Coturnix japonica: one gene and its partners. The protein of the gene in region 1 interacts with the protein of each later gene in a biochemical or structural test. Links are inferred from orthologs where the notes say so. Each region holds a gene or a part of one and is shown in the gene's direction. Other genes may lie near its edges. The genes, in order: MAPK1, RPTOR and GAB2.

The links.
Region 2: of the proteins of MAPK1 (region 1) and RPTOR, one has a biochemical effect on the other in vitro, tested with the Homo sapiens proteins (2 studies listed by BioGRID, with this or other methods). The link is inferred for Coturnix japonica from reciprocal best matches to the Homo sapiens genes MAPK1 and RPTOR.
Region 3: of the proteins of MAPK1 (region 1) and GAB2, one has a biochemical effect on the other in vitro, tested with the Homo sapiens proteins (2 studies listed by BioGRID). The link is inferred for Coturnix japonica from reciprocal best matches to the Homo sapiens genes MAPK1 and GAB2.

The regions. Positions count from the first base shown.
Region 1 is NC_029530.1:385,986-389,733, forward strand, and holds the start of MAPK1 (mitogen-activated protein kinase 1), read left to right. Parts: upstream 1-1,307; 5' UTR 1,308-1,531; coding exon 1,532-1,674; intron 1,675-3,748. UniProt on the Homo sapiens protein: Serine/threonine kinase which acts as an essential component of the MAP kinase signal transduction pathway. MAPK1/ERK2 and MAPK3/ERK1 are the 2 MAPKs which play an important role in the MAPK/ERK cascade.
Region 2 is NC_029533.1:5,000,601-5,004,248, forward strand, and holds part of RPTOR (regulatory-associated protein of mTOR), read left to right. Parts: intron 1-1,256; coding exon 1,257-1,361; intron 1,362-3,648. UniProt on the Homo sapiens protein: Component of the mechanistic target of rapamycin complex 1 (mTORC1), an evolutionarily conserved central nutrient sensor that stimulates anabolic reactions and macromolecule biosynthesis to promote cellular biomass generation and growth.
Region 3 is NC_029516.1:172,541,867-172,545,514, forward strand, and holds the end of GAB2 (GRB2-associated-binding protein 2), read left to right. Parts: coding exon 1-125; 3' UTR 126-3,011; downstream 3,012-3,648. UniProt on the Homo sapiens protein: Adapter protein which acts downstream of several membrane receptors including cytokine, antigen, hormone, cell matrix and growth factor receptors to regulate multiple signaling pathways.

The DNA.
Region 1 (3,748 bases):
TTACACTGCTGAAGCAGTGGATGACATTTAAATGACAACTTGTCCCGTGGGCTTTCGGCTGTATGACACCAGTTCAATCAGGCCCAGGTAGGTTCTGATTAGAAGTCATTAGCATCTGATGCTCTTTATGACTCTCTTAGGATGGCTCCCAGTGGATCAGAGCTCATATCCGAGCAATTTCAGTTTGTGTCACATTCATCACCATGGTTGCTGACTGCCTTAGAAGTTAAAATACATCTTTATAGAATGCCTTACATGTCTTACTTCTCTTTCTTCTCCTCCAGGCAGAGGCTTGAAGTCTCCTTAAATAACACTTGGAAAATTGCTTTCTGTACTGGATGTCTGCATTTGGTTTGGACGACGGGGCACTGGGAGCACAGCACTGAGCACAGCACTGAGAGCACAGCACTGAGCACAGCACTGAGAGCACAGCACTGAGCACAGCACTGAGAGCACAGCACAGAGAACACAGCACAGAGCACAGCACTGAGAGCACAGCACTGAGCACAGCACTGAGAGCACAGCACTGAGAGCACAGCACTGAGCACAGCACTGAGAGCACAGCACTGAGCACAGCACTGAGAGCACAGCACTCTCCCTGCTTCTCCCAGGCCCCTTGTTTCTTTTACTTGTTACCTTTAAGTTTCCTTTACTTGTTTCTATAAACTACCTTTAAGTTTCCTGCATCACTGTTCAGTTTGAGTTTTAGCAGAGAAAACGAAATCCCCAAGAGCAGCACTGTGGGGCAGCTGTTTGTGCTTTTTCTAAGCCCAATGATGCTGTTCATTTTCTTCTCTCCACTCGTCATTACCCGCCGTCATTTCGTGGTATCAGCATCCCCTCAACATAACGCCGTGTTTCAGCCATCAAACCAATGACCTGCTTGAGACACCTTCCCATTCCTTCTGTCACTGATGCTTTAATGTCAGCTCAGACAGACGGCCCGGCCCGGCTGCGTGTGACAGCACCGTGTGTGACAGCACCGTGTGTGACAGCACCGTGTGGGCGCGGGAACGCGCACGTAGCGCCGGACACGGAGCCGCGGGAACGGCTGCGTGTCCGGCCCAGAGCGACGCGCACGGAGCTCGTCCCCGCACGGTGCTCGTACCCGCCGTGCTCGTCCCGTCCCGTCCCGTCCCGTTCCCCCCCATCCCGGTCTCCATTTCCTCCCGCCATCACCTGACTCCTCTAATGGCGGCGCTCGGAGCGGCCGCGCCCACCACGTGACCCGCCGCCCACGTGACCCGCGCGCCGCGCCCCCTCCCCGTCGGTTGCGGTTACCGCAGTCCGAGGCCCCCCCGGTCTCGCCCCGCCCCCCGCCCCCTCCCGTCCCGTCCCGTCCCCGCTCTGGTGGCGGTGGTTGCTCGGCGGGTCGGTTCGTTCCGTTCTCCGCGGCCCGTTCTCCGGCCGGTGCTTCTCAGCGCGGTGTGGCGGAGCCGCCTCCTTCCTCCTCGCTCCCTCCTTCCCGTCCCCTCCTTTCTCCTCCCTCCCCTCCCCGCACGCAGTCGCCGCGGTTCCCGGCACGGACAACATGGCGGCGGTGGCGGGGGCCGCGGCCGCGGGCGGCTCTACCGGCACCGGGGGCCCGGAGATGGTGCGGGGCCAAGTGTTCGACGTGGGGCCGCGATACACCAACCTCTCGTACATCGGAGAGGGGGCGTACGGCATGGTGTGGTGAGTACGGCATGGTGTGGTGAGTACGGCATGGTGTGGTGAGTACGGCACGGGGTGGTGAGTACGGCATGGGGTGGTGAGTACGGCATGGTGTGGTGAGTACGGCATGGGGTGGTGAGTACGGCATGGGGTGCTGAGTACGGCACGGGGTGGTGAGTACGGCACAGTGTGCTGAGTACGGCATGGGGTGGTGAGTACGGCTCGGGGCGCTGTGTGAGTGCGGCCGGGAGCGGCCCGCGCGGCCTCGGGGCGGGGCAGGTGAAGGTGAAGGCCGGGCGGCCGCCGCTTGCCCTGCCCTGGGCCCTGCCCTGCCCCGCTGTGCCCTGGGCCCCGCTGTCCCTTTGTGCGGCGCTCACCTGGCTGCTGCTGCTGCTGCTGCTGCTGCTGCCCGGGCCTCCCGCTGCGGCTGCGGCCGGGTGGCTCCGCTCGGCCCTGCCCGGCTGGCAGGCGGCGGCCGGGCCGTGTGTGCGCGTTCTGCGCCGACCGGTCCGAGCTCCGAGCGCCAACCGCGAAATGCGGGACAACGATCGCGAGATTTTGGCGTTGTAGCAGCGGCCCCGACGTGCCGGGCCGAGCCGCGGTGCTGCCGCTGAGCTCCGGGCTGGGCCGGCCGTGCTCGGCTCGGGGCACCTGCTCTGCATGGGCGGCTGTGGATGGGAAACGCAGCTCCTCGTTGACGGGCCCATCGCGGCGCTTCCCGGTGTGTTGTGTGACCGGAGGTGCTGTGTGACACTCGCAGCTATGGTTGTGTAGCAGCTTTGCTTTCTCTCTCTGTCGGTTCGTGCTTTGTAAACCGCAGTGTATCGCTCAGCAGAGCTGCCTTGCTGCCTTCAGCTGCACGCTGTGGATCTGCAGGTTTCCTCTCGCAGCTGTGGGGATGTGCTGCTCCGTCACGGTGAGGCCGAGCTGTGTTGGTGGGAGCTGGAGCCGCTCCTGAGCTGCTGGGGAGGCAGACAAACATCTGCCAGGAACTTTAAAGCTGCGGCCTTTGCTTTTGTGTTGTGGGAAGAAGCTCCAGCACATAAACCAAAAAAAACAAAAGCTCCCGTTGATGGTGTAAAAATAACCTTGTTATTGGTTTAGTGCTGGAAGTCACAACAACGGCCCGTCCAGAGCTCGTGTTCCAGGTGTTGTTATTGTGTGCCTTTATCAGCGGAGCCGGGTGGCAGCTCGCAGCCCCAGCAGAGCTTGGTGCCCGCAGAGCGATCCAGGCAGGAGCTGTGAGCAGCGCCGTGCCGTGCGGTACCGAGGTGGTGCCGCAGCCGGCTGCTCACGCTGAGATGTTTGTGCACGGCGCAGTGCGGTGGCAGCTGATGCCCTTTTTTGGCGTCACCGTGATTGGGAGCAGACAGGGAAACGGGGTCCTTCTCTTCCCCTGCACACGGTGTGTCACTCCATTCTGTTATGGAAGGGTTTCCTCTCTGAAACTGTGGAATATTATCGTCTGTTTGGAAACTTGCCATATTAAATGATATTCTGCTTCAAATGCTATCTGTATTTCTTAACAAAAAATTCTGAATCTCCAGTTTAGTTGAGATATTCATTTGGCTCCTTTGTTTTCTTCTCTAAAGCTGTTGGTGTGAAATCCTGAACGTGATACATTGCACTGTAATTATTGATCTTCTGCCTTGGGTGTGAAATGCCAGGGAACAAAGTCTCAGTTTATGCGTGTTTGACAAAGGAGGTGCTGGATGCACATGTTCCAGCTGAATGCCATAGCAACTGTCATGCCTTGCAGCGCAGCACACCGACTACTATGGTTAAGTAACAGTGCTTACTGAGCAGTGCAGGTAGAGCTTATGCAGATTCGTACTGCGTGTCCCGGGTCTTGCTTTGACTGTAACGCAGTGCAGATCTGCAGAGCATCTCCCTTCCGGGCTGGGGTGGCAGAGGGCAAAGCCACAGGGTGCAGGTGGAGACAGCTCCTGCTATTGAAAAGCCATTTAGGTTTGTACTCTTAAGAAAGGACAGCAAGGCAAGCGTTAATGGCTTTGTTTTAGGCAGTCAGCTGATGTGTATGAGACAGAAGGTGCTGGTTATTTCTAAATGCATTGTGCTGTAAGGCTTGCTATAT
Region 2 (3,648 bases), on another chromosome or scaffold:
AAGCAGTGCAACTCTGCATGTGGCAGGGCAAGGACCTGGGGAGCCTTCTCAGGATTCAGGTCTATGGGGGCTGTGCTGTACCCCTCACTCTCCCTGCTCTGTATTTGGCCCAGCCTGGCCCTTCCCCTCACCCTTGTGGTCTCTGTTGAAACTCTTCCAGGATGGAAGTTGAAAATTGCTTCTGGCAACATTGAAATATCTGAACAGCTTATGTAAGTGCTGCAGTGTTCTCAAATAGCAAACAAATCAAACACTTGCTGAAACTGTTTCCAGGCACAGCTTTGTTTGTTACGGCGTTTGGAGGTAGAACCTGGCATGGCAAGTTCACAGCAACCTCCTGTGCCATTCCTTGGACATTGTGATCCTTAGATGGTCAAAAGCTGCTTTCAGAGCTGAAGGGAAAATCGTGCTGCAGCCAAAGTATGAGGAATCAGGTTTGGTTGCTGGTTAAAGCCCAGAGCAGACAGGGATTGTTTTAGGCACTGAACTTCTCCAATAGTTCTGAGTTTATTGTGAGTCTCTCTAGTCCCTGTGTCTCAGCCAGGGAAGCAGTTCTCCAGAATGCCCTGTTGCATCACATAAGGAAGGATGAAGAGCTTTTTCTCATTCATTGGTCTGTAAAGCTGCGAGTAAGAAATGCTTCGCTCCCAAGGAGCCATTCTAAACCTGTCAGTCTAAGTGTTTTCAATAGCTTTTCAAACTTCATGCTGAAACGTACAGGTTGGGTATAATTAAGAGAGGTGGAAGAGGATTTGAGAGGGCCTTTAGGACATTTTTCTTTCAATTTATTGATTCTTAGCACAGGAGTTTCACAGATGGGGAACAAATTGAAAGAAATACATGATGTACTTGAAAGATCTGCTGCTGATGGGCTGGGCTTCGATTCAGCTTCTTTGTGGGGCTGTATTTTGTATTTAGGAGGGTATTTTTGTGGTTCTCAGTGCAGGAGTAAGGAGGACAGAGACAGTTCCTAGAGAAAATCGGTCAAAGAGATGAACGACATCTGATGTCAGGTGTTATTTGTAGGAAGGAGAAAAGTTCCTCTAGAGCAGTTCCCAGTGGAACAATATATTAGATTTTATGGAATAAGATTAAAGGAAAAAACAACTCTAATAGAAAGTATGATGTTCCAGCAAGGCTCTCAGTTCTGGAGTTTGTTATGAGCACAGCGTTGCTGTTCCTCTTTTTATCATGCATAACTATGAGTGTTGCATTGGCAATGACATGGCATCGTGTTCTGTTTTGTGCTTCCCAAGATGATGGTGCCATCAGAGTATGGAAGAACTTTGCAGACCTGGAGAAGAACCCGGAGATGGTAACGGCGTGGCAGGGGCTGTCAGACATGCTGCCAACTACACGAGGTAGGTCCCCTACCTGGAGATTGGGAGGTCAAAGGTGTGTTGATATGGTTTTTTTCTCAAGATGAATACAGCAAAATGGGTTTCTCAACATCAGCCACCAGTAACATCCTTGTTTAACAGTCTCTACCTTTCTGGAATGGTCTTTGGCCAAGTTTTGTGTTTGTTTCTTGTTAAACAAACCAACAAGACTAAAAGCCCAACACAACAAGCTCCCCCAATGCTGAAGAACACCTAAAGGAGCCTCTTGGTGGGGTGCAGAAGGGCACAAAGTTTCTGTCCTTTGCAAACCTCAGAGCAGCTGTCTTGGCCAGGTGTTCCTCTGGCCTGTTCCTAAGGAGAGATCTGTAGAACAACGATGGAACTGCCCTGCTCCTTGTGGCAGGAGTTTGTTCTTCCCTTCTGCGTGGGATAGTGGCTCACATGCTGCCTCTTTTCCTTCTGATGGGCTGCTCAGCCTTCGCACAGCTTTGCATGTTGCACCTCTGACTTCATTTAGCTCAATTCCAGCACTTACTGTCCACTGCTCATTGTGTGTCAGGAGGTGATGAGAATATGCAGTCCGGATCTGGCACATTGCAGGGCAGCACAGTTAAACACTGAACAGATTTGGATGCTAGAAAACTTAGAAAAAGATGTACAAAGGAGCACTGACATCCTGCTGTGCACAGGATGAAACCAGAAGGCCAGTTTTAAGTAATCCTGAAGTCTGTTTGAAGATATTAAAGGAGATGGACATTTTGTCCTTCTGAGACCTGATAATGTACTAATGCTCTCATGGGGTTTCTCTGTCACTTGAATAGTTCTAACCGAGGCTACAGGTGTTTCTAGATGCACTGTGGTTCAATCAGTGCTTGTGGGATTAATGCAGGAATTGCTGGGTGAGATTCTCTGGTTTGTGCTGTGTGGGGAGGTCAGATGAGATGACCACCATCACTCATTCTGACCTTAAAATCTGACAGTTCTCATTTCGGAGCTTGTGGCTCATCACGGGAGTCTGACACAGCTCTTTTAGCTATTCATTGGATTTTACCAGTGCTGCCTTGTTGAGCTCATATCTGCTGTTTTCCTTAATACCTCCTGTTTCGTCTCTGGTGCTTTAGGAATGAGGAACTGCATTTGAGGTAACGTTAGGCTCCGTGCCTCACTGCAGTATGTGTGCAAAGCTGATGAGAAGCTGCTGGATGTCTGCAGCATACTGAGAAAATTGCCATGGTCCAAACTTGCTCTTTGCAGAGACGTCAATAAAAGCAGGATGAAAACAGTGGTAATGCAGGGCACGTGTTTGTCTGTAGGCAGAGAGGAAAGTATCCAGCAGTCATCTCAAGTTGCCCTTTGTAGCGTCATTCAGTTGGTCCACGTGCCTTCCTTGCCAACGCCAGTTTTTGTGAAGGATGTTGATTAACATTTACCATCTCTGGGCTCTGAATTTTGCTTCCTTGGTGATGGACTCAGCTGAACAGCTGATGTCTGGGATTTCCCCTGCACTGCTCTTACATCGTCTTCTTGCTGCATCATCAGTCGTGTTCAGGGAAGATGCTGACAGCTGTAGACTGAACTCCTTCAGGCTAACTCCATTTTCCTACCTTGCTTTCTACGTGTACCTTATATAAGGGCATAGCATTTGCTGACTTTACCTTCTTCTCTACAAGGCTTTAATGTAGAAGAAAGGGTTGTTAGCATCGATGTTTGACATTGCAGAATAGGTTAAGAGCTGAGCTAGAGCTGATTTAGCTCTAAGAGTTGAGGGTTTACATTTGCCAAAACAAGTGTGCCCAAACTTGAATCTGTTCTTTTGAGATGGTGTTACCTTTTTCTTTCCAGTAAGGCCTTAGGAAGTCTGGGCCCTGTTTCCCTTGTCTTTCACCTTTGGAGCAGTAGAACTAGGTTCAGAAGAAGAAAAGGGGAGATATTTGTGCAGAGAGGAATAACTGTACTCAGTTCAAAAGAGCTATGTGGATCAAGTCCCCTTGGAAATGAGACGCTCTATTGAGCAGTTATCTTTTGCTGCCAAGACTCGAGTTGTGGTCCAGCGCTGGCTCATAAAACTGAAGATGCATCTTTGAAGCTGCAGAGCTCAGGAGTTTTGCTGGGGTTTGTGTGCTCCCACTATTGATTTCCTTCTTTCCACTCCCATCCTTTTCCCCAATGTCAGACTCCTCTCTGAATTTAACAGTCTTCTTGCAAGCAGAATACTGACTTTTGTAGGCAGCTTTCCCTCTTATAAAAGGAAGGAGGAATACACGGTACCTAAATACATCCTTTGCAAGCTTGAAGGCATCACTGGCTT
Region 3 (3,648 bases), on another chromosome or scaffold:
CCTCAGATGAGAAGGTTGACTATGTGCAAGTGGACAAGGAGAAGACACAGGCGCTGCAGAGCACCATGCAGGAGTGGACTGATGTGCGGCAGTCCTCAGAAGCCACCAAGAGCACCAAGCAATAGCGGCAGGGCAGACACCTAACAGGCAAATGTCCCAGGGGTTCTCCCAGCTTGGGGCCCTACCAGACTTCCAGCTCCATTTGGACTGGATTTCTCTAAAACTGCTGTCTGTGTGGAGGGGAAGGGTTCTTTATTATCATTTTCTTTTAAGACAAAAGGAACTTAATTGCAGAGGAAGACTTGGCAGATACTGTTTGCCAGTGATAAAGGTCAACTGTATTTGTTGGCTGGGTTTGTGCTTTAGCTGCTGAATGCACCATCCAGGAACTTTGATGTAGCAATACCAGGTTCCACCTTACACATTTGTTGCTTACAGTTATTAAAGCCACCTTGTATATGCTAATACCATCCTTCCCTGCCTTCTTCCATACCATGCCCATAAACTGTGCCACTTAGGTTTGGCAGCATCTCTTCTAGGACATCATTTCCCACCACCAATTCTCTTCTCCTTATGGTTGCCTTCTTCTCAGCATCCACTCAATCCCAAACCTGAGCAAAGACCATTCCTCTTTGACTTTATTTTCATCATCCCATCTATTGTAAATAGTGATGTGTTCAAAACTTCTGATAGTTTTTCTCACTGTGGGACAGCCTCTGTGTTTCTGGTAGTGATTTGTAACCATGATGAGCTCGAAGAGCTTCCAGACTGCCTTGTTGAGCTGGCTTTGCAGTCCAGGACTTACCCCACCGTACATACATACACCAGCACGTACTCAGACACTTGCATGCATGCAGGAACACCCAGGTGTGATGGAGTGTCTTTTATGGTTGACTCTCAGAGTCATTGGGTTGGAGATGCTGGCTTTGGATGGCAGAATTTCAGCCTCTCTGAAGCCAATTGCCTGTGAATCTGGCCCTAGGAACCAAAACCTACCTTTTGTGGCACAAAAATAAGCCCAGAGAGGATGAGTCCTACCCTTGGCTATCTGTATGAGGCATTCAGAAGGGCTGTGGGGCGCCTGTGTACCTGGGTTGATGTGAGGTTGAGTGATAAGTGGGAGGCAAGAGGAGATGTAGGGACCAGGAGAAGGCAGATGTTGTACCTCAGAAGTTGGACTTGGGTGAGGGGCTTCTGTGGGCTTTATCTGGGGTGAAAGGAGTGGAATAACTGAAATGTTTGTCAGTGGTGAAGCCCTAGGCTTGGAAAGGAGCTGGCCAGAAGAAGCAGGACAGGGTATTTCAGTGTTAAATGTATTGTAGCATAGAGCTGGTTCATGCTGGAAGCAAAGGATTGGTCTAAATATTGTTCCTCATCTTTGGTGATACCTCTTTGATACAGATGGGACTTTGTGATGGTCACGACCCCAGGTTCTGATAATGGATGGGAAGCTGCTGTTCCACTGCCTGCATCTTTGACACATGGAGGCTTTGGGATTGTTCCCCAAGCAGCTGCCGCACATGGAGAGTAGAGAAGGAAGAGGCAGCTTATTGCAAAGATAATTACTCATGATCTCATGAAAACAGGAAGAACTAATGATTGCCATGGAGCTGCCTGATTGCCAGACAGCAAGCGCTGACACAGATAAACAGACTGACTGCATATCGAGAGCTAAACAAAAGGCACGTTAGAAGGATTAGGTAATAACATTTGCTAAACAGCTTGAGTTATTCTTTCTTCAAGATGGACCCCTCCCAGCACCAGGAGCTCTACTTCCCACAACCACCACCAAGAAAAGCAATCGTTTGTATTAAGTATTGATGCTTAAGTGTTAACACAGTTGTTTAATCTTGGCCTGAGTTTGGAAAGGGTCAGATGCATCTCACATGGGTACAGGATGCCAGACCCTTAGAGGCTAGGATCTGCCTCATAAAATAAGTCCTCAGTTTCCAACACACGTTTGTGTTTTCCTCTGCCCTGCCATGAAATGGGACGATCTTAAGGGAAAAGCTCTGATGACCCTTTTAAGACATTGCAGTGTTGGGCTTTTACAAGAATAATGGAGCAAATATCCTCATGCTTATGGTAAAAATAATAATCATCATCTAGGAGAGAGATGAGAGAAGTCCCAAAGGGGAAGATTTAGCACAGCCAGATGCTTTGTGAAGACCAGGGCCTGTGCTTCTCATTGTGGACTTGAACGCTTGCATGGTGAGATAATGAAATGAAGAGCAGAGTGCAGTGCTTCATCTTTCTATAGCCCCTTTCATCACCACTTCTCAGGGGAGACAAAACATTGGGTCTGGTCCAGAGCCCACTGAAGTCACTGTAAAGGCTCCCATGAAGCTCAGTGAGCTCATTAAGAGGATGTGGAGAGATCTTCTGGCCTTGGCATCCCATGGGTGCCTGAAACACGAAGGAAAAGCCAGTCCCATGGATCTGGTGTGCATTGACCTGGCTGGAAGTGAGCTCTGCACAGTCCCTGTGGAAAGGCAAAGAACTTGGCTTTCCTATTTTGTCCCCCAACCTGCTCTATACAAAGGAAAATCAGGTTGGGGAGGAGGGATTATGATGTACACTGAACGCATTTCCCTGCCAAAATCATGCTGTTTGCCTCCTAAAATGCAGCCTTCTCTGGGTGGATGGCAGCAGAAACTTCAGAAATAGCCCTTCATGTTGCTTGGGGTCTCTCGCAGTGCAATTATGCTTGAGGTGAAACTGAGCCAGCTTCAGGCCAAAGAAAGCTTGAGCCACACCAAAAGCATGAAAAAATCAAGTTGTAATTGTAATTTTCTTCACTTTTCTGGCCAAGTGCATTAGATATATATCCAGTTGTTTGGAGCACGGTCAGAAATGTGTCTTCTACCTCATGTGAGGCTGGGAGATGGGGAGTGCAGCGTTTGAGGCACAGACTCAGATGTGAATGATCCAAATCGTTTATTACAAGTTCTCACATCCCTTATATACCTTTACAAGTTGTTATTTTCTAACTTTCCCGTCCGCCCTTACAACTTTCCCAACCACCTTTACATGTCAACAAAGCATTCTTCAAAACACTTTTCAACTGTCCATGCAGGCACGTATCCAATCAGAGCTGTGAGACTCTTCTTCTCCTTGCAGAGGTGTCCTTGGTTCTCATGCTGTTTATCTTGCTCCACAGCTGCTGCTCTGAACAGCTTTTCTTGTATTCCCACAGGGGAGCTCAGCCATGGTGCCATTGTTTGAGAACCAAACCAGGGTTGGATACAGTTGGTGCATCTAGTGCCCACTTCCATGTTTAATCCAAGGTGTTAAGATTAGGAAAGCATAATCAGTACTAAACACTACTGGAGAAAACAGTCCTTTTTCTCCACATCCCACAGTGATGATATTTGTTCACAGGTAGACTCCATCCATATAGACGTGGCTGTACCAGCCCCTCTGTAATCAATTGCTGCAGTGGAAATCGCCATTCCCGCCTGTTGTTGAGCTGATTACAGCAGTCCCTGATGATTAATGTTTGTGTAGTATTTAGTCTTAAACTGTATTGAAAAGCAGCTGGCTTAATTACACGGACTGCCAAGAACTTTGTCCCGAAGGCACTGAGTTTATCACATCCACTCTATACTTGGATACTCAAGTATGACAGACTCTTTTGTTAGAAATAGG